2 linked regions of the Lonchura striata genome follow. Each later gene encodes a partner of the first gene's protein in a complex. Links are inferred from orthologs where the notes say so. Each region holds a gene or a part of one and is shown in the gene's direction. Other genes may lie near its edges.

The links.
Region 2: SUPV3L1 (region 1) and PNPT1 share a complex: the UniProt entries of both Homo sapiens proteins name them as parts of the mitochondrial degradosome (mtEXO) complex. The link is inferred for Lonchura striata from reciprocal best matches to the Homo sapiens genes SUPV3L1 and PNPT1.

What each region holds. Positions count from the first base shown.
Region 1 is NC_134609.1:34,901,298-34,911,264, reverse strand, and holds the start of SUPV3L1 (ATP-dependent RNA helicase SUPV3L1, mitochondrial), read left to right. Parts: upstream 1-6,131; 5' UTR 6,132-6,322; intron 6,323-9,967. UniProt on the Homo sapiens protein: Major helicase player in mitochondrial RNA metabolism. Component of the mitochondrial degradosome (mtEXO) complex, that degrades 3' overhang double-stranded RNA with a 3'-to-5' directionality in an ATP-dependent manner.
Region 2 is NC_134605.1:27,016,946-27,027,162, forward strand, and holds the start of PNPT1 (polyribonucleotide nucleotidyltransferase 1, mitochondrial), read left to right. Parts: upstream 1-5,708; coding exon 5,709-5,893; intron 5,894-7,329; coding exon 7,330-7,390; intron 7,391-7,703; coding exon 7,704-7,778; intron 7,779-8,227; coding exon 8,228-8,333; intron 8,334-8,629; coding exon 8,630-8,679; intron 8,680-9,141; coding exon 9,142-9,205; intron 9,206-9,290; coding exon 9,291-9,338; intron 9,339-10,046; coding exon 10,047-10,160; intron 10,161-10,217. UniProt on the Homo sapiens protein: RNA-binding protein implicated in numerous RNA metabolic processes. Catalyzes the phosphorolysis of single-stranded polyribonucleotides processively in the 3'-to-5' direction. Mitochondrial intermembrane factor with RNA-processing exoribonulease activity.

The sequences.
Region 1 (9,967 bases):
AGTGCTGTTTGTATAAATAAAATTCCTCCAGTTCAGTTAAGTGAAGACAGACCATGTCTCTCCTTTAAAAGAAAAACCCATACCCACAACTGAAGAAAACACTCCCACATGTGAGTGTTTTGTCCTGTATTTTGGTATCTTACTCTTTTCTACTTAGTCTTATGAGATTGTACACTGATCTTTTAAAGAATAGCTGTACTTCAGAACACGAGGGCTCTTAGTTCTGAATAATTCTGGCTAATCCAATGTTTTTTTCCCTAGGTATTTCCTAAAAGTGACAATAGTGAGACGGCTGTCAGACTTGGTGAAAGAATATGATCTGATAGTTCACCAGCTCGCTACATACCCAGATGTAAACAACTCCATCAAAATGGAAGTAGGCATTGAAGACTGTCTCCACATAGAGTTTGAATACAATAAGTCAAAGTAAGTGTCACAGCAAAATGCTGTTAAGTAAATAACTTGGTATAAAAGGGTGCAGTATGTAATATATGGTGACCAACTTCACCTTCTGGAGACTTAAAATGTAATGTACTAATTACACAAAGGCCTTTTTGAGTTACAGTGGGCTGTTCGGTCTTCAGTACTAACAGGAAGGTCACTGGCAAATATTTAAGACCTATTTTTTGCTTTTACACCTTTTCAGTATGACTGATAGTACTTCCTTTACTGATCCTGATAGAATGCTGGAAATATTGCAGTTGCTCTGGTCTGGCTGAAGTGCTTAGTTCACCGGGGAAGTAAGCTCCAAGTAGTTTTCAGGCAGATAACTGCCTGTGTGACTTGTGTTCAAGAAGGTGCAAAACTTGTGTTTATTCTTTAACAAAACCCCCCATTTTGTTCTCTTAAAGGTATCACTTAAAGGATGTGATTGTTGGAAAAATTTATTTCCTCTTAGTGAGAATAAAAATTCAGCACATGGAGTTGCAGCTGATCAAAAAGGAGATTACTGGAATTGGTAAGAGAAATAAAGTCCAAATGAAATGGCAGCTTGTGTGCCAGTTGAGTCTTATGCAGACCTGGAGAGTGAAGTCAGTAGTTGTAGTGCTGGCTGAACCAGTGCTCCACCAGCTTCATTCTCACTGGTGTTTGACTACCATTTGCATTTTGTGCTTTGGCAATAATACTTCGTAGTCAACACTGCCAGTTTGTTTAATTGTTCTGGGGTTGTGACTCTTGTGACTCCTCACAAACGTGAACCCTTGTAAGTGGAACTTGGGCATAAATACACAGTAACTTCATCAGCCTTAATTTATAAAGAACAAGGGAGGAGGTGTAAAATGCATCCTGAAGACCCCCTTGCCTTTACAGGGATTGACTGATTAAGGGGGGCTTGGTAAACATTAGCATAAATCAGACATGTTCTAGAAATGTGTCATTTTCTGTCATCCAAAAAGTGGATATGATAGAAATACCAAGTGGCTTTGAAGCAGAAACAGGTTGATTATTGCAGATCAGGCTTGTACTCACTGGAACAAGGCTGAAAGAGGCTGTGGCTCATGACACTTCATTCCCCAGTAGCTGGGGTTTTTGGGAGCTTCTTGTATGGAGAATGAGAAAGCTTCTACTAGAGGAAGGGCAGAAAGCTCTACTTTATTTCTGGCTCTTGAGCTGGCTGATAACCCTTCAGTTCCTTGTTTGAGCATGGCCTAGGCAGTATCAGCTGCCAGCACTGCTCACCAAGCAGAGCAGTTTCAGGATTCCATACCCTCTTGTGAGGGAAGAGTAGGCTCCTCTTGCACGGTTGGGGGTGTAGGGAGGCAGAGATCTCTGAAGCTTGCTCTTGGGGGAAGAGGTTTATTGGAGAATTCAGGAATGCCCAAGCCTCGTGCTCTCAGGCGTAGCACGGGGCTGGGCTTAGGAGGACGGGGGAGGGGAGAGAGAAATGGAGGGTTTAGGAGAGGGGAAGCCCCAGGCAGGGAGGGAGTCCTAGAGGGGAAGAGAGGGCCAAGAGAGGGAGGAAGTCCAAGAGGCCGCATGGCCGCTCAGAGCCCCCTTATCAGGGGCTCCCAGGTGGGCTGGGACACGGCATGGGCCAATGGGGTTACAGACTCTGTTTTAGGGGCAGGTACAGAGGTGCGGGATGAACCACAATCTTTTGCAGGGTGGGATGGAACAGTCCATTTCACTCCAGGATTCATCCAAGGGTAGAAGTGACATCCGGCTAGCTAAAATAACAATCATATCTATCTATCCTCTGCAACACTCTTGCTTGTCCCTTATTTAAAGCTTGCATATCCAGGGCTCCTTTGAAGCTCTGGTGCCTGCCTCATCTGTGTTAGCGTGGTGAGGGAGAGAAAGAAAAATGTCCTGCTTGGGAGAGGGTTTTGCTTGCTTTAGCCATGTCTGACTTACATGCAAGACAAGGGCAAAAATGCGGGGCTGTGTTAATTTAAAAGCTGCAGAATAGAAGTTGTTGTGATAAAACTTTGTGAATGTTAAAACTGAAGCATGTGTTCACAATAAAAACTTGTTTCACCAGGACCCAGTACTACAACAGAGACTGAAACCATTGCAAAGTACGAAATAATGGATGGTGCACCAGTTAAAGGTAAATAACTGTGATTGTTTTAAAGTGGGAGCATTTAGTGTTAAAATCCTATTTAAAAATATGGGACACACTTCTCCTTAGGTTGCTGAAATGATGATGCATTTTCTATTTGGAGAAGACATTTTCATGGACTTAAGGCATTTCCATGGGATACCAGTAACTTTTACCCTTATTTACCATTGGAAATTGTATTACTGATGTTTTCATCAAACCTGACTCAATGGTGTAGACCAGCTCTAGGGAGTTAAAAATACTGATCCTTCTGGCTTTCCTGGCTACCATACTTGCACTGAGAAAGGGTTTTCACTTTTCATTTCATGCTTGCTTCTGTGCTTAGTGTTATGTTTCTGATTTTTGGTGGGTATTTTTATGTCTTGTGCTGTTTGGCTTAGTTTTTTTTTTAACCAAGGAACAGCACAGGCAGTGCTTGGGAAATTGCTTTTATTTTGCATGTCTTCTGAAACTGTATTAATTGTTCCAGTTGTAAGGATTTCTGTTTTTTGCAGGGGAGTCGATTCCTATAAGATTGTTCTTAGCGGGCTACGACCCAACTCCAACAATGAGGGATGTGAACAAAAAATTTTCAGTGAGGTACTTCTTAAATCTGGTGCTTGTGGATGAAGAAGACAGACGATACTTCAAACAGCAGGTATGGTCTATAACAATCCTGTTGCAGAATTATCTGGGCTGTTTCACATGCGGCTTTGAGCCACCTGTGCTTCATGTGTGGCACATGCATTTCTGCTGGCAGGCGTGCTGACAGCTCTGTAGATGATGTCACCTTGCAGCAAAGGAGCCAAGGAGGATGCTGGATGCTGTTCCAGCAAGGATAAGGGTGCTCAGTACCATAGAACTTGATTTGGGAATATCCAGAAAAAACACTGGATGGGTAAAATGAGTTACTGGTGCATTTGTTTGCTTCCTTAAATTCCTGCAGAGAAATCTCCCCTCCTGCACTAGCCTGGGTTCAAAACTGCTAAGCCTTAATTAAGGACTAAGGCATTTTACTAAAAATGTTCGATAGATGAGGTGATGCTGAGGAAAGGGATAGCCAAAAGGGTCACTGGAAGAAGCTTTGTGGATTAGATCAAAATCTTCCTACTACAAAGCAGACAAGACAGTGTAATTAAACATGGAAAACAAGAGGGAGCTGGAGCATACAGTGGCTATGGTAGGCTTTGGGTTTTGGGAAAAGGAGGAAGAAAAATTTCTTGAACTCATTAATAGTATTAAAATTGAGGGTGGTGTAGTTAAGGAAGGGGTGACTGCTCAAGATTGTTCAAGCAGTAACTAAGTATGTAAACTTAATGATGGTGTATTTCTGTTACTTTTATATGAACTGCACTGATAAGTGGTGGGGATGCATTTTTTGGTGGACTCTTGTGTTTTGTTACCTTTTTTTATTTTCCCAAAAGTTTTAGTTTATCATGAACTTAAGATACTTGATGCTGTTGCCTTATTGGCAACTATTGGTTTCAAGAGTGTTTTCTTCCTCAAATAGGAAATAATTTTGTGGAGAAAAGCTCCTGAGAAGCTGAGGAAACAACGGACAAACTTCCACCAACGATTTGAATCTCCAGAGTCACAAGCATCTGCTGAGCAGCCCGAAATGTGAACTGGTCTAAGGTGAAAACCTTTGCAGTGCTTCAGCAGGTTAAAGATGGCAGCAGCCTGTGGGAAAAGAAGGCCGGAATTCCCATTACAACTGTCTTCCTTCATCTTGCAGTGCTGCGTTTACCATGCTACTAAAGCGTTCTTCAGTTAAGCATTCAAGTATGTATATACATTTAAAATAAAGTGCTTTCTCAAACACTGGAACTTTCTTAAGCTACTATTTTATACTGCACATTTCCTTTTATTTGATAATGTTGTATGCACTTGGGTATGCAAAAGCTTAAATCTAGTTATTTCCATGCATGATAGGCTGGTGTATTTGATTTTTGCTGCTCACCTCTACAATATAGACTAAAGCATTTCCCGTCTCTCATGTTGTTCATTGCATGTTTGTTTCCAATGTTGCTTATTTGCTTTGTTTTGTTTTGAAACTGCATTAAGACACAATTGACTAAATCACACTAAAAATCAAGGTTTATGGTGCATTTTTCTAAAATCTCCTAATTACTACATTAGACAGGGTTTAACTGAAGCTGCATGTATGTGCACTATGATTGGAGCCTTCAGACCAGCGGTTCTAAGAGGCTCTGCATCTGTCAGTAACAAAGAATATTGGGAAGTATCTTTGCCCTCTCTCCCCCAGCTCCCGGTCAGACTTCTCAAAGTCTTTCACACGGGTTGCTCCTAACTTTTGGGGGCTTATTACCCAGTAATTAGTGACTGTAGGGTTGTCTTTGAGTTCACCCTCAGGTGTTGAGTGGATAAAGTATTTGAACATAGTTATCTTATTGATGAAGTAAATGCTGTTAACACTGATTGTTTTGCAAATATGTAAAACTGTGTTTCCTCCTGGCTTCATGATTCCGCTGTCTTCACAGTCAGTGTCTATCTGTCCTGACAGGAGAGGCAAAATGTCCCCAAAGGACATCCTTCTGGGCCTCTTAGAGCAAACAAGCTTCTTGTGGTCTTCTGCAAAGGTATTCAAAGCCAGGCAAGCCTTGAAACTTAGAAACTTGTCTGGCTCAGCAGATTGTTTGTCTTTATCATCATCTCATAGGCGTTTAGTGTTTGAAGAAGTAGCTTAAAGGAGTTAAGTGTGGGGTCTGTTGTCAGACGTGTGGCTTGGGCACAAATGGAAGCCTGCTGTGAGGAAGGCAACTTGCACTTGTAGTTCACTTGGCCTTTAAACCAAGGCTTCTTGGCTCCGGTGCAAGTGTCATTGGTAACCTTACTTTCTGAGTAAGTAAATAATCAAATTACATTTATGTAAGAACTGTTTTATTACTGCGGCACTTTGATAAAGCAAAGACTCTGTGTACTTTATGCTAGGATACTCCTAACGCAGATATCTTCGGCTGAGAGCAAATCCAACTCCCTCATGTAAGTGCCTGTTCAGAAACTTAAAAGAATAAAGTTTAAAAAAAAAAAAACCCAACCAAATATTTTCACGGTCACTTGCATGTTGTAAACCTGGGAACGATGATTTTGAAAAACTTGATTGTACTTGACCAGCCTCAGATTGTGCAACCATGTATAATGAGCGGGGGAAAACATCCTAAGCTGCTATTTGAATTATTAAACCAGCTGTATTCTCACTAAACCCGCCTGGTGTGTGTGTGAGGGGCGCTGCGCTCCCTCAGCGCGCGGGCGGGGGCGGCGGCGCGCACGCGCGGGGGCGGGGCGGGCGCGGGCCGATGACGCGCGGGGGGCGGGGCGGGCGCGGGCCGATGACGCGCGGGGGCGGGGCGGGCGCGGGCCGATGACGCGCGGGGGGCGGGGCGGGCGCGGGCCGATGACGCGCGGGGGGCGGGGCGGGCGCGGGCCGATGACGCGCGGGGGCGGGGCGGGCGCGGGCCGATGACGCGCGGGCCGCCCGCCGCCCTTGTCTGCGGATGAGTCGCTGCGCGTGGCCGCTGCTGCGGCGGCTCCCCGCGCGCGCGGCGCTCGCGCTCCGCCATGGCGGCGGCGCTCCCCGCGCGCGCCCCGCCGCGCCCGCGGCGTCGTCCTCATCGCCCTCATCGCCGGCCTCCTCCGGGGACGGCGGCGCCTCCCGCGCCCCCGACACCTCGCTCTTCGTGCCCGTGCCGCTGAAGCCCGGCCTCGGCGGCGCGGCCGAAGAAGACGTGGGCGCCGAGCTCACGCGGCCCCTCGACAAGGGTGAGTGCGGGCGGGACCGTGAGGGGACGGGGCGGGGGCCGTGAGGCCTCGCCCGCCGTCTGCCGCCAGCGCCGGAGGCGGGCTGGCGAGGCCGCGGCTGGAGCGCTGTGCCTGGCTCTGCGCCGCTCAGCTCTCTGGGGGCACGCTGCGAGCTCGAGCTGGTGCAGAGAACGGCAGCGGGGCTGGAGCGCAAATCCGATGGGGCTCGGCCAGGAGGAGAGGAGGGCTCAAGGAACACTTCGCCTTCTCCAGCTCCCTGCCCGGAGGCTGCAGCCAGATGGGGGTCGGGCTCTGCTCCCAAGGAACAGCAGCGGAACAAGAGGAAACGGCCTCAAGCTGTGCCAGGGGAGGTTCAGGTTGGACATTGGGAGGACTTTTCTCACAGGAAAAGTAATGAAACATTGGGACAGCCCGGTGAAGTGGCGGAGTCACCATCTCTGGAGGTGTCTAAAGACAGACTGCTTGTGGTACACGAGGTGCTGTTTGCTCGTAGGTCGGACTCGATGATCGGAGAGGTCTTTTCCAGCTTAATTGATTCTGTGATTCTGGGACCCTCCTGAGGGCTGAGGGAATTGTCCCCTGCTGCTCTCGGGTCCTTTCCTGGGCTCAGAAACTTTCCCCCTTAAGAGAAGGGTGTCCTTCCCCACAGCTTGTGTGACCTGAAGCTAATTGTGCCCGTGAAGGTGAAGTGGGATAAAGGCTCTCAGGTGAGAGGGCACCTGCATGTGGTGGGATTCATGGGGCTGTGCTGTGCAGGGCATGACCCGTGTGGGTGCTTCCAGCTCAGGATACTCTGGGATTGCCTGGGCCCGCAGGCGTGCCCTGTGTGAGGAAACGCTCTGCTGGCCGCTCTTCCGTTCGGTCGGGGTAAAGGTGCTTGGCTTGGGGCAGGTCCCACAGCCAAACTGCAATCTCTTGCATTCCAGAGCCATAACTGTATATGAACTTGAAAGACGTAGTTTCCTCAAATATTGATGTTACAGACCGAAAAGTTTGTCTGTGTGTGAATGTGCCTAGATCAAAAGTGGCTGAAGTGACAGGACCAGGGAGAATGGCTTCAAATGGACGGAGCGTAGGTTTAGATTGGGTTTTAGGAAAAACTTCTTCCCTCGGAGGGAGGTGAGGCCCTGGCACAGGGTGCCAGAGAAGCTGTGGCTGCACCATCCCTGGAAGTGTCCAAGGCCAGTTTGGATGGGGTTTGGAGCAGCCTGAGATAGTGGAAGGTGTCCCTGCCCATGGCAGGGGACTGGAGTGAGATGGTCTTTAAGGTCCCTTCCAACCCAGACAGTTCTATGATCTTAGGACTCCATGATCTTTAAAGATTTGGTAAATAACAGACAAGGTCTTGATTCTTTTGATATTTGCTGATCTGAAAGCATTAAGGGTGCAAATGGAAATCTTTCATATCTTCTCATAATCTAATGATGAGGTATTATTTATCTTAATTCCAGAGTATAGAAGCATGGGCAAATTATCTTAATAGTTCAGAACTATGGAGAAAAGAATATCTAACTTTAAAAGCTAAAAAAACCCACCTAATCAGGATGAAGAATCCTGAGGAGCTGTAATGCAAAAATCTGCATTGTCAAACTTGTCTTTTATATGAATAGTGCATTCCTGAGGTGCCAATAAAGATGAATGATGCCTTTTTACTTGTACATTGCCTGTTGTCTCATTTGTTAGAGGAGCAGTTATGTTGGATTTCTTCAAAACTACATGCTAAACTAAAATGCTCTGGGAAACTAAGTACAGATTCTGTTTGGTATTTGCTAAGTTGTTGAGAGAGAACAGATTGGCTAAAATTATGTGTGCTCGCACAGGTGAAAATGAACCACTTCAGTCAGCCTGATGTTCCTCCCTGTGAGACTGGCAGGAAATAGCAGCCAGGTGACCTGTGGGGTGTGGCATTCACATCTCTGTGCTTCTCCTGAGAGACAGAATTCTGTCTCTCTGTCCAGAGAAAGTGAATGCTGCAGTGGGATGCTCATCTGACTTGTTTGGCCTCTAGTGCTCTCTCAATAATATTGAAAACTATTTTAAAAAGACAATGACGTGTTTTAAAAGTATTGGTATTTTGAAACCCAATAATGTTAGAAAAGACTGGACGAGAACTTCTTTACATGTAGCCATTAAAAAAAAAATGAAATAAATAGTCTTCTCTGCTTCCCCCTTCAGGTTCTGACCACACACAGTATTATGCATCTGGTTTTTTATCTTTTTAAATGAAGATACTTTATCAGATTCTGCTGCCAAGTACTGAATTAAATTCAGTAAAGGAATATGTGTATTTATGATCTTTCTGGTTACAGTTTGTGAAGAAACTTTGTTAGTGAGCATACTTGCATTGTGAATAATCTTGTTAGCTTGCTCAAGTGAGAGTGATTATAGTTTTCACATTAGTCAAACACTGTTAGGAAGACTAAAGGTCTTTTTAGAAGCTTACTTTTGTAAACCCAGTTTTGTAAAAACTTCCTAACAGACCTGGAATTAATTCACTGCTTCTGTTTTCCACAACTTCATAGGAAGAGTACCCCTGTGAGTGCTGATGGATGCTTTCAATTTTGGTGTTTGTATCTTGTGATTCAGTTGTCCTTGAATGTCAGTTCTGTGGCTTCAGTTGTCTGACCGTGGGGCTGTGCTTTACCTGTGGGAGGTGCAGGTCAGGACAGACCAAGTATTGGCAGCAATTCACGTGGCAGGAGCAGGAGATGCCTGAACAGGGGCCTTGGTAGATGCACAGGTTGCTTGGACTGGGCAATGGGAGTCTAATAGTTGGGGAGGAATTGTAAAATAAAGTGCTTCAGCTGCCCCAGTGGTAACATTCAGCCTGACTGCAGTGGATTGTTGCCGTCAGAGATACAGGGTAATGACTCAAAGGCTTCCTGCAAACAGGGTTGAAACAGCTAAATGAATCTGATACATTGGAGACTAACTGGATGATTTCTGAACTTTACTGCAGTCTGGCTGTCTTTTTACAGAGAACCTTAGAAGTGCTGCTGAGAAATCAAAGTAATTGAGGAGTAAGAGCTAAAACACAATTCTAGAATGAGAGAATGGTAAACAAAGGGAAATCTCAAAGCAGGAGTGAAGGGTAAAAAGGGTGGTGATTGAGACAGGACCCAGATGTTCAGAGTGTGTATGTGCTCTTGGATAAGCTCAGGTGGGCTGCAATGCCAGCTTTGTTTTGTTTCAATTTACCTTATTGTTTAGACAAGTGTTTGTGCTTAGGAAGGATTGTGACCTTGGGCAGCTTGGTCCCAATGTCACGTTGCCTTGGATAGAAACATGTTCTGGCATTGACCTTTACTCTTGTAGTAAGGCCAATGGCTGTGAATTTAGCTGCGTGGCTGATGATGTGTTAGTTGCTGGAGCTTCCTTGGGAAGCTCTGAAGAGCGCTGAGGCCTGTACTTGCTTATACTGCACTGTTTTCCAGTCTGTCTTTGATTTCAAGGCCCTTAAACATGAGTGTGGATGCCTTCCTAGGAAATGTAATTCTGCTGGTGCCTTTGTGTTTTTGTTATCTTTGGGAACATTTCAGAACATGAATTAATCCATTAAAACACTCCTGTAGTGGTATGGGATGTGCATTTAAATTTGCCATATTCTTGTCAGCTGGTGATTTTCATTGTGCCAAGTGGGCTGTC
Region 2 (10,217 bases), on another chromosome or scaffold:
ACAGAAAACAAGCACACACATCAGGAAGTTTTGTGCATTACACATGATGTTCACTCATAGTTTTTACACTACAAGTCAAAGTCATTTGTAGTGTTAGAAGTGGTGCTAATTTAGTTTAGAATAGAGGAATCTGAACATTACCCCACACATACAGAGTGTTCTTGCATCTAGCTTTGCTCAACTCCTTTGTTAAAGGCACAGCATTGAATGATCAGTGTTCACAGAAATGCTTAAAAAGGCTTAAAAATCGCACCTCTAGGTGCTCCTCTTTAATTCATTAATTTAGGGTCTCTTCACTCTCCACTCTCATTGCAGACAAAAAGGAAGAGCACTGACCATAGTAAATTCTGTACATTTTTACTATTTCTGTAGATCTGTCTCTTTGCTTCTGTCTCTTTAGTTCTGTGCCGGTCACTCGCCCATGCAAATTAAGAACTGACATGAAAACCAAACCGTTGTTTTCTATTACTCCCTCAATATTCAGGGTAACCTTGGAAGTTTCCAAGCGAGCCACGGAGGAGTTGCGTGGGCAGAAGCTGCGCCCTGCAGGCACCACCAGGAAACAGCCAGAACGAAGCCGGGACCGCGGCGGGCGCAGCACAGCCCGGGCTCAGCTCACCAGTGCCACCGTATGGCACAGGCTTATTTTCAATAAAGACACACCAAATCACACATTTTAAGGTTTTACTCTGCCCAGAGAGCGTCCTGGCAACAACGTGGGCACGGTATTCTCAATTTCTGTACTACAGAAAAGCCAGGGCATGGTGAAGACCCCCCGAGAAAAGGGGAGAATTAAAATGTGTTGTTTCACACTGCCTTGAACACTTGTTTTTCTGTGAATTGGCTGGGAAAAAAAAAAAAAAAAAGTAACTCTCACTGTGGTTGCTCATCCCTCTGATTTTCTGGTGAAGCCAGTGTTCCAGGCCCATCTACTAATTTCTTCCCTCTGTCCAATGCTAGGAGCAGCCCCCAGCACACACCTGACCTCCAGCTCAACACCCACTGCCAAAGTATATTAACCACTTCAAATAAAACATTTATTTCAAAAACATGCTGCAAATAAAAAACACTTGCAGAATCTCACATATTACAACAAACAGGTCTATGTATTTAACAAGTAAATATATACAAGCAGAACATCCACATGGTAGCTGACTTGGAACATTCCTGGTTCCTGGGGAGTTGGTGAAAGAGAAAGCAGCTCAATAAAGAGGTATCAAATTCAAAGGTAACACCTTTAAAAGGACTGAGTTTGTTAGAGGGAAGAGTTTTCCTTTCGTTAGATAGAAATACACATTAATACAATCTTGCAGCACATGTACATAATTATTTCAGCACAATCCAGACTGAGCAAGGGAATTCAAGTGGTTGTAATTGTCAAAGAACCCAAATCCACAGCTCCCAGAAAACAGAGTATGTGGTCAAGGACACTTAAAACTCCTGGAAAGAAGAACAATATAGAGGCTGTGTATCTGAGTAATATGGGGGGGTTCCAGTTAGACTATAAAACTGCTACCCACTACCCTGTAGAACTGCCCTTGCCAGCTCACAGAACAGGTTTGAGTCAAATCCCCAGCACAGCTACAAGGTCCCTGCAGCTGAATACAGAAATTCCCACTACAACCCCTCAGTTTCAGAGGCTGCTCCCACCCTTTGCATCTGCTGAGCGTGTTTTGACCTGCCAAAAGTTCCAATTGCCCTGGTCTAGGTTTTTCCTTCATGTGAAACCCCTAAAATCTGGCCTATGGAGACACATTACATCCCATACACCAGCAGGAAGGCTTCGTTTAACCCAGTTTATTGATTTATAAGATGCTTTAACTCTCAATTTAAGATAATAAATAGGACAAAAGAGAAGTCAAAAAAACATGAAGGAGTTGACTCTACAAGTTCAAGTAAGGAGCTCATATTTTCTTTAGTGTTATACTTCTGTGGTCTCCTACCACAAGGAGGAAAAAAAAAAAGCAACCACTTTCCTGAAGTCCTTCACTAAGTTTAGGCTGCACAGCAATAAAAATTAGGACTCAAATGGTTTCAAAGTTTGCTGCTGAAGCAAAAAAAAAAAGATGACACCTTATGTATCTATTACACTGTGGGCATGAAACACAGGCTTTATATACACATGCACTTTGACTACTGACACATCCAAATAAATCTTCTGGAAAATAAAAGTTTGCTCTGACAATTATTCAACCCTCTACCTTACTTGCTCCTTATAGAGTGCAAAAATAAAACATAAAATAACCCCAACACACCAGATCACTTTAGAAAACACAGCACTGATTTGGGAAAGGGAATTTGCATTTTCATCTCTTTCACATGTGTTCAAGCAGTCCCATAAGACAAATGGTTGTAGAAATCTCCAACTTGCTTGCTAGGGCAGCACAGCTTGGGATGAGCACAGGCTTCAGTTTACTCACCTACACCTTCTGCTTAAATCCACCTTCCATTCCCAGGGAATACTGCAATTTCACATCTGCTCAGGGAGCAGAGCAGCACAGAGCCCTCAGGAACTTGGGAGAGAAAGGAAGGAGGGGTGGTGCTGCTCTAAAATAGGATGAGACACAGACCAGACATTTTGATTGCAAAGTTCATCCACCTGAGTTTTCTGAAGAACACTGAGACACTGGAGTTATACCAGCTAAGGAAATCTAGTGGCATCTGAAAGCCATCACAAGAGATACAGCAGGAAATTAAATCAAAGTAGAGCTAAACAGAACAAGAATGAGGAAAGAAAGCCAAGTGAAAACAAGTCGCTTTAAAGTAATGCAATTTCAGTGGATTCTCCTAAGGCTTCTTTAGAAAGTTAGGATGAGAGATCTGTATCCTGCTAAAACATTTTTATCAGCTCCAAAGAACTTACTTGCTCAGGTGCAGCATCCAGGGTTTTCAGGAATATTTAATGATGCCATAATTGTTCTTCACAGTTTGCAATAAATCCAGAATAGGATGCCCCACCTGGGCATGGTGGAATGGCTGGAACACCACTAGGAATCTTTCCTGGAACAGCTGTAGATACAATTTCTTATCAGCATTGTCTTTGTTGGCAATGATGGAAAAAAGGAGGAAATAAATCACTGTCAGGCTGTTTGTTGGGTTTGTTTTTAATTTAAATTCTATATTGAGCTGCTTTTATAGGGCTAGGTCTGTACAATGGCTGTCTCTTTAAAAAAAAATCTAATAAATCAAATAATAAAAGTGTAGAGCTTTATGACAAAATATGTAAGGGGCTCAATTTAATCTTGTTTATGAGCCCAGGAAAAAATAGAGCCATGAGAAGCCATCCAGTGGAGGAGTGCATGGAAAATGCCTCTTCCTAGGGCAGTTGGTTGCATGTTTACTGTTCCTTAAAATAGCCACACATCATTTTTTAACAAGTGTCTGTAGCACTTGAAGCAAGAGATTTACTGAGCCGCAGGATGGGGATGGATAAAATTGGATAATCAGCTACAGATGGACCCTGACCAAATAAATAAATGGCTTAATAAATGGCAAAATAAAGAAGTGGCTTGAGACTATGTGGATCATAACTAATTCCCTCAAGGAACTTGTCAAACTTCAAAGCAGAAGAGCTCTCTGCTGCACCAGCACACCCAGTGAGCTGGACAGGAGGGGGCACAGACAAAGTGGCCAAAAGGGAGCTGCTTAAGCTGCTCCTAAATAAAACCCCTACTTTTATTAGCAATCAGTAGGGCCCATACAGCATAAAACCATGAAATAATGTCACAGGGTGGTATTAAACATGTTTCAGTGTGGCAGAGGCTGCTAGAAAAGGCTCAAAAATTATTGCTGCTCTCCAAAAAGCTTTAATCATGATCCGATTTTGTGCCTTGTCTGGGGGTTTTTGTTTGAATTTTCAACAGTGGAATTAAAAAAAAAAAACAAAAAAAAAACCAAAGAAAACCCCACAACAAAAAAAAACCCCAATAAACAAACAAAACAAAACAAACAAAAAACCAAAACCAAAACAAAAACAAAAAACAAACAGAGGTAATGAAGAGGGAAATGAAGTGCAAATCTTTCTTAATAGATGAACCATAGTTTTGGTTTCTTTCATGATGTTAAACATTCATTTTGTTTGCTGCCTAGTATCTTGAATGAAATCCAAGCTCTGGTATCTTTTTCCTATGACAGTGATATGGCCATAGTTTGTCAGTCCATGACAGTGATGAAATATTCCCTTACCATCTTGGTATGAGAATAGCAATCGTAATAATTACACAAAAAACATTCCAAATAATTGTCTGTTTGTCAGCAGCAAAGTGAATGTGAATTCAAGAGACTATGGGGGACATTTCTGCTTTGCCAGCTAATACATTCTTGTACCAAAAAAACTGTACCAATAAGTAGTAAATCTGGATAAAGTTAACAGTCCTTTTGCCCAGGCCAAATCCCAAGTTCAGATCATTTTACTTCTTTCTTTTGTGTCTTGCCAAAAAGATAAAAAACATGTTGGCACAAAAGAAAAATTATTGCTTGGACTATTCTCCCAGTCTTGAATCTGTTTCCAATAAAAGCAGCTTGGGCAGAAAACTCCAGTTAAGTAAACAAACATCAAAATAGCTTTAGAAATAAAATAGTAGTAAATTGTTAAGATTTTTAATAATTAGTTGCTAAATTTAAATTGTTAAATCCAGATTGCAGATGAGTTTAAGGTGATGCGTGACAGATACATGTGGGATTCAATGAATATAAACTATCTCATTTTTGATGCAATCAGATCTCCATAATCACATTATTGTTTGCTCACCTCATTGACGTAAGTAACACTAATTACTAATCTATTTTGCATTACACTGAGGAATAATTAATAAAGTAACAAAACCACTGTCCCGAGTGACATTCTGATGCACTCTGAGCATGTAAGAGCACATGAAGTTTGTGATAAGCAATATCTGTGTTCTATTCTTCTTGCACAGTACAGATTATTTTGGTATTCCTGGTTTAAAATTATGTTTTGGTTGGTTTTTGGTTGTTTATTTGGGGTTTTGGTGGTTTGTTTTTTGGTATTAGGGGTTATTTTGGGGGGTTTTTTTGTGTGTGGTTGGTTGGTTGGTTGGTTGGTTGGTTTTGGTTTTTATGGGGTTTTTTGGGTTTTTTTTTGTTGTTTTTTTTTTTTTTTTTTGTCGTTGTTGTTGGTCGGGGTTTTTTTGGTGGTATTTTTTTTCTTCGTTTTTTGGGTTCTGTTGTTGGGGTTTTGGTTTTTTTTTTTTTTTTAATTTTGGTGGCTGTGTTACAGAACAAGGTCTGCGGAATAAATTAATTGCAAAGGCCCATATTTTTCTCTTCCTGAACTGAAGGTGGCTTTCGGGCCTGTCCCCAAACAGGGTCGGGGCCAGCCCGGCAGGCGCCACCCGGCCTCCTGAGGCGCCAGGGCGGGAAGAGACGGCAGCCCGGTGCCCCTGTCCTCTTCCTCGCTCCAAGCCCCTGTTCGAGCGGGTTCTCCTCAGATTCCAGACCGAGGTGGCTCCAAGGCCGCCACAAGCGGCGCCACGGACCTTTATCTGCCGCCTTTTACCCCAGAATTCGAGAGTGGCGGAGCAGCCGCATTCGCGCGCTCTGCGCTGCCTGACCCTCCTCAGCCGCTATAGCGCCCGTACGGAACCGAAACCGGCGCGGCGACGCCTCAGCCAATCCGCTCCGCTCTTACTGCGCGGCGCCGCTCCCCCGAGCCAATCGCGCGGCCGCCCTTTCCTGCCTGGGGCGCTATGGCGGCCGCCAGGAGCTGCGGCCGCGCCGCGCTGGGCGCGCTGTCCCGGGATGGCGGCGGGGCCGCGGCGCGGTGGCGGCGGGTCCTGCCCCCGGGCCGCCCCGTCCTGCCCTGGGTGCCAGCCCGCGGCGCCTCGGCGGGGCACAAGCCCGGGCGGGCCGTGACGGTGGAGGTGGGCGGCAGGTGAGCGGCTCTGAGGGGTGTGGGGGGGCGGCAGGGCAGAGCGCTGTCCAGGCTGGAGGGTAAGGCAAACGCGAGGAAAAACTGGTGTAAAGTGCGTTGAGGCACGTGTTGAGGTTATTCTCAATCAGGACGTTCTTTGATATCGGATCTTGGTGTGCTGGCAAGCCTAATCAGCAAGAAGGGAGCCCGGAGCAGTGGAATCAGCCTTGTCGTCGCTGAGTCAGGGACATCAGGCTCTGAGGAGCCCTACGGATGTAATAAATCAAGTTGCTGATGGATGTCTATGTGTACATTGCCAACTTAGCAAAATATTCCAGGCCACCAAGTTGATCAGAGGGATGGAGACCTATCGGGTGAGGAAAGACTCAGAGAATGGGGATTGTTCCGCCTGGAGAAAAAAAGCTTTGGGGTGACCTAATTATGGCCTTCCAGGACCTGAAGGGAGCTGCCTAGAAAGATGAAGAGACTATTTGTGAGGGTGTGCAGTGACAGGACAAGGGAGAACGGGTTAAAAATGAAAGGTAGTAAGTTTAGATGAGACATTAGGGGAAAAATCTTCCCTGTGAGGTCCCTCTGAGCTCTCCTGCCTGGAGAAGCTGTGGCTGCCCCATCCCTGGATGTGTTTAAAGCCAGGTTGGATGGGGCTTGGAACAACCTGAGATGGTGGAGGTGTGGAACTCGGTGATCTTCAGGGTCCCTTCCCACCCAAAGTGTTCTGTGATTCTGTAGCTGAACTGTGTTCATTATAACAGTGAAAATCACACCTACAAGTCATAAGGGCCTTGCCCAGGTGTTCTCCTGAGCATGTGAACAAGTTACCTGGGATAACTTGTATAGAAACTACTAACTAATCATAATAGAGGGGCTGTGCTTGGGAAGGGACCAGCTCTGCATTTCTGTGTATAAATAAAAGTATGGAAAGTTAGGAGGGTGTGCGGGGCTTGTGCAATAGCACCCAGCACAGCCCTAGAATAAATAATCCATATCTCACTCTCGAGTGTGCCCTCATTGCCTTGTTGCCCTCCATCCTCTGCCACAAAGGAAGGAGTATTCTGCAGATGTGGTGGGATGTGTGCAAGCAGCTCCCCTTGCCCTTGAGGGTGTTTTCCAGTGGCTAAACCCCAGCTGGAACAGGTGATGATTCACCTTTGTGATAGAGATAGCTGATGTGCTCCAAGGCTTTGCTTCAAAGTAAAGGAAACAGGACACTTAAGTCTGAAGCAGGACACTTGAGACTAAAGCAGTTGAAATTTAAGTGGGTTTGTTCATTTTTGCTCGAAGAGTTTCAATTTTTATATCTATGAAGAATTTTTATATCTCTTGTGAAGCATAGCCTTTATTCTGTGCAGTTGAGGCTACAGGTGAATGCAGAAATTGCTGGGAAATGTAGATGGATTCACTATAAGCTTATGTAACAGATTGTTTCTTTCCTTTAGAAAGATGGAGCTGTCTTCTGGAAAACTTGCTAAGTTTGCTGATGGCTCTGCTGTTGTTCAGGTAAAAAAACAAAAAAAAAGTCAAGATTTGTCCAGCTTCAAAATTTCTGAAACTTGAAAGTCATTGTGTGGGCATCAGAGCCTGTGGGATATAGAGCCTCAAGTGGCAATTTCATCCCTAACAAAGGGACAGCTGTATTGTATAGGAAAAATTGTTTGAAAAGCAAAGACAGCAGTGTGAACTGTGGATTTATGCAGTGGTTTTCTGCAAGGTATAATTCTTAAGAATTACTGGTTTGTGAATTAAGTTTAGAACATTGGAAGTTATTTTCTTTTCTGGTAACTTCAGTTTTCACCTGTTTTTCTTAACACAGCTAGGTGACACAGCAGTGATGGTCACAGCAGTCAGCAAAACCAAGCCTTCTCCATCTCAGTTTATGCCATTAGTGGTAAGTACTAATGACAGAATTAGTTTTGTGCTAATCAGTGATCAATTTAGCAGTCATGGTCCTTAAACAGTGGAGTTCAGGATGCTGGGGAGAGTGAGGAATGCAAACAGTAGACGACAGACCCTGGACTTGAGATATGCAGTTGATGATAAAATCCAGGATCCTTGTGTGGGTGAGGGATGAGCCCTGGCTGTTGCCTGCCTTGGATTTAGTAAGGCTGTCTTCAAAGCCCTTGCGAACTTTGCCGTATCATCCAAGCTCTGGTATCTGGGTTTGGTTGTGTGGAAAGCTGGTTGGATTGTGAGGCTCAAAGGGCTGTGATTGTTAAGGGTGGGAAGTAGATAATTGGGGTTAGAACTGGATGATCCCAAGGGTCCCTTGTGGGGGTTTCTGTGGCTCTGCAGTAAATAATCAGTTGTCATTAATAATCCCTGAATTTTCTTTGGAAGGTTGACTACCGGCAGAAAGCTGCTGCAGCAGGAAGAATTCCTACAAACTATCTCAGAAGAGAGCTTGGTTCCACTGATAAAGAAATTCTTACAAGCAGAGTAATAGGTAGGCTGAAACCTTTTATTTACAATGTACTTCAAAAATGTTGTCATTTTCTTGTGCTTGTTTGAAAATACAGCCATTTATAATGTGTCAGAAACAAACATGTAATTTATTTATCAATGTGATTGAAATTTTAAGGTTACATGTGTCATGCTGAATACATTTTCTATAGTATTGTCTCTTTTTTTTTCCATTTTTGTCAGTTTCTTGTGGGGTCATTGCAGTACAAACTGATTATTAACTACTGAAACCAAATTCTTATGAACTTTTTATTAAAAGTTTGATTATTTTCTTTGCAGATCGGTCAATCAGACCACTCTTCCCTGCAGGCTACTTTTATGATACACAGGTAGGTCATGCTACCTTCAAAACAGAAAACTTGAATATGGCCAAGGAAAATTTCATTACCCAGGCCCTGTTTGAAGAAAAACTATTTTTATTGACATCAAGGAGGGGTTTGTACTTCACAAACAAGTGTAATGTTGCTTTTAATCTGTTTTATCTTCTTGTCTTACAATATTATTTCATCCTACTTTCCAAATTTTGTTGTCAATATGCAGGAGCAAAATTAAAATCTCTGTACAACAGGGGAAAGATGCTAACAGTAAATATTTTATTTGTGATGTGATACAATAGTATCCATTAATGGGGCTTTATTTTCAGCTTTCTATATTAAATACCTGAAAAAAATTTCCATGTGAAACATAGACTTGTGTAGATTCATGGGGTTTTTTAGTGTCCTTAGCTTTGTATTGACAGTTAATAAAAATGTATAGGTCAAAATTATTCATTGTCTTTTATCTTATGCCAGATCCTTTGTAATCTTTTAGCAGTAGATGGTGTCAATGATCCTGATATTCTGGCAATTAATGGAGGTAAGAAGGCTGTGAGAAATTGGTGCTTTGGTGGGACTTAATGAGATCAGTTTTTTTCTAATCCAGGTATTTATCTTCTTTTCAGCTTCTGCAGCGCTTGCCTTGTCTGATATCCCCTGGAATGGTCCTATTGGTAAGTAAACATTTTGAAATGATGTGTAATTTTAATGTAATGGAACACTTAGACCACAAGTGGTACTTTGTTTTTTAAAGCAGAAGCTGAATCTAAACATTAAATTTCAAGCCCTGGAAATAATTTTGCAATGGAGAGGATTATTGCACTTCAAGGGATTACTTTTTTCTTTACAAAATGCTCTTCTGAGAGGAAATACAATATAGAAATAATGTACTATAGAAACCAATAAATTAATTTTCTCTTAAGAGAAACATATTTATTGAAAAGCATAATTTGGAAAATAGCTGGTTCAGAATACTTTTCCTCAAGGAACTCAGAAAGAGATCTATTTTATTGTGAGTATTTTCTGGGAAGAGAAAAGATCTGCCCCAGAACAAATATTGAACAAGTATCTTCCTTTTAGCTGCCTGTTTTTTTCTAGAAAACATGTGCTGAAATGACAAATACTCCCATTACACTCACAGCATTGTGTGTAATACTGGCATTATTTGCCCTATCCAGTAATAGTACTCAAAAGTGCCCATTCTTAGAATGGGTAGTCTTGTCTTCTAGATTTGTTCTTAATATCTAGTCAACATGCTGATATTTTAAAATTAGTCTGTAGCTTTAAATATTGTTATTAGCTGTTTAACTTTCAAAGTAAAGTGATGCCTTAAAGAGCTTCCTTATTATAATAATAAATGACTTTCTGGAGTTTCTTTGCAGGTGCAGTGAGGGTGGGGCTGGTGGATGGAGAGACTGTTATCAATCCAACTCGGAAAGAGATGTCTTCTAGTGCTCTAAATTTAGTTGTTGCTGGAGCTCCACACAGTCAAGTTGGTAAGTAGGTTAATTGTTGTCTGTTGAGGGCTTGGAAATCTTTGCAGATGTTTACCT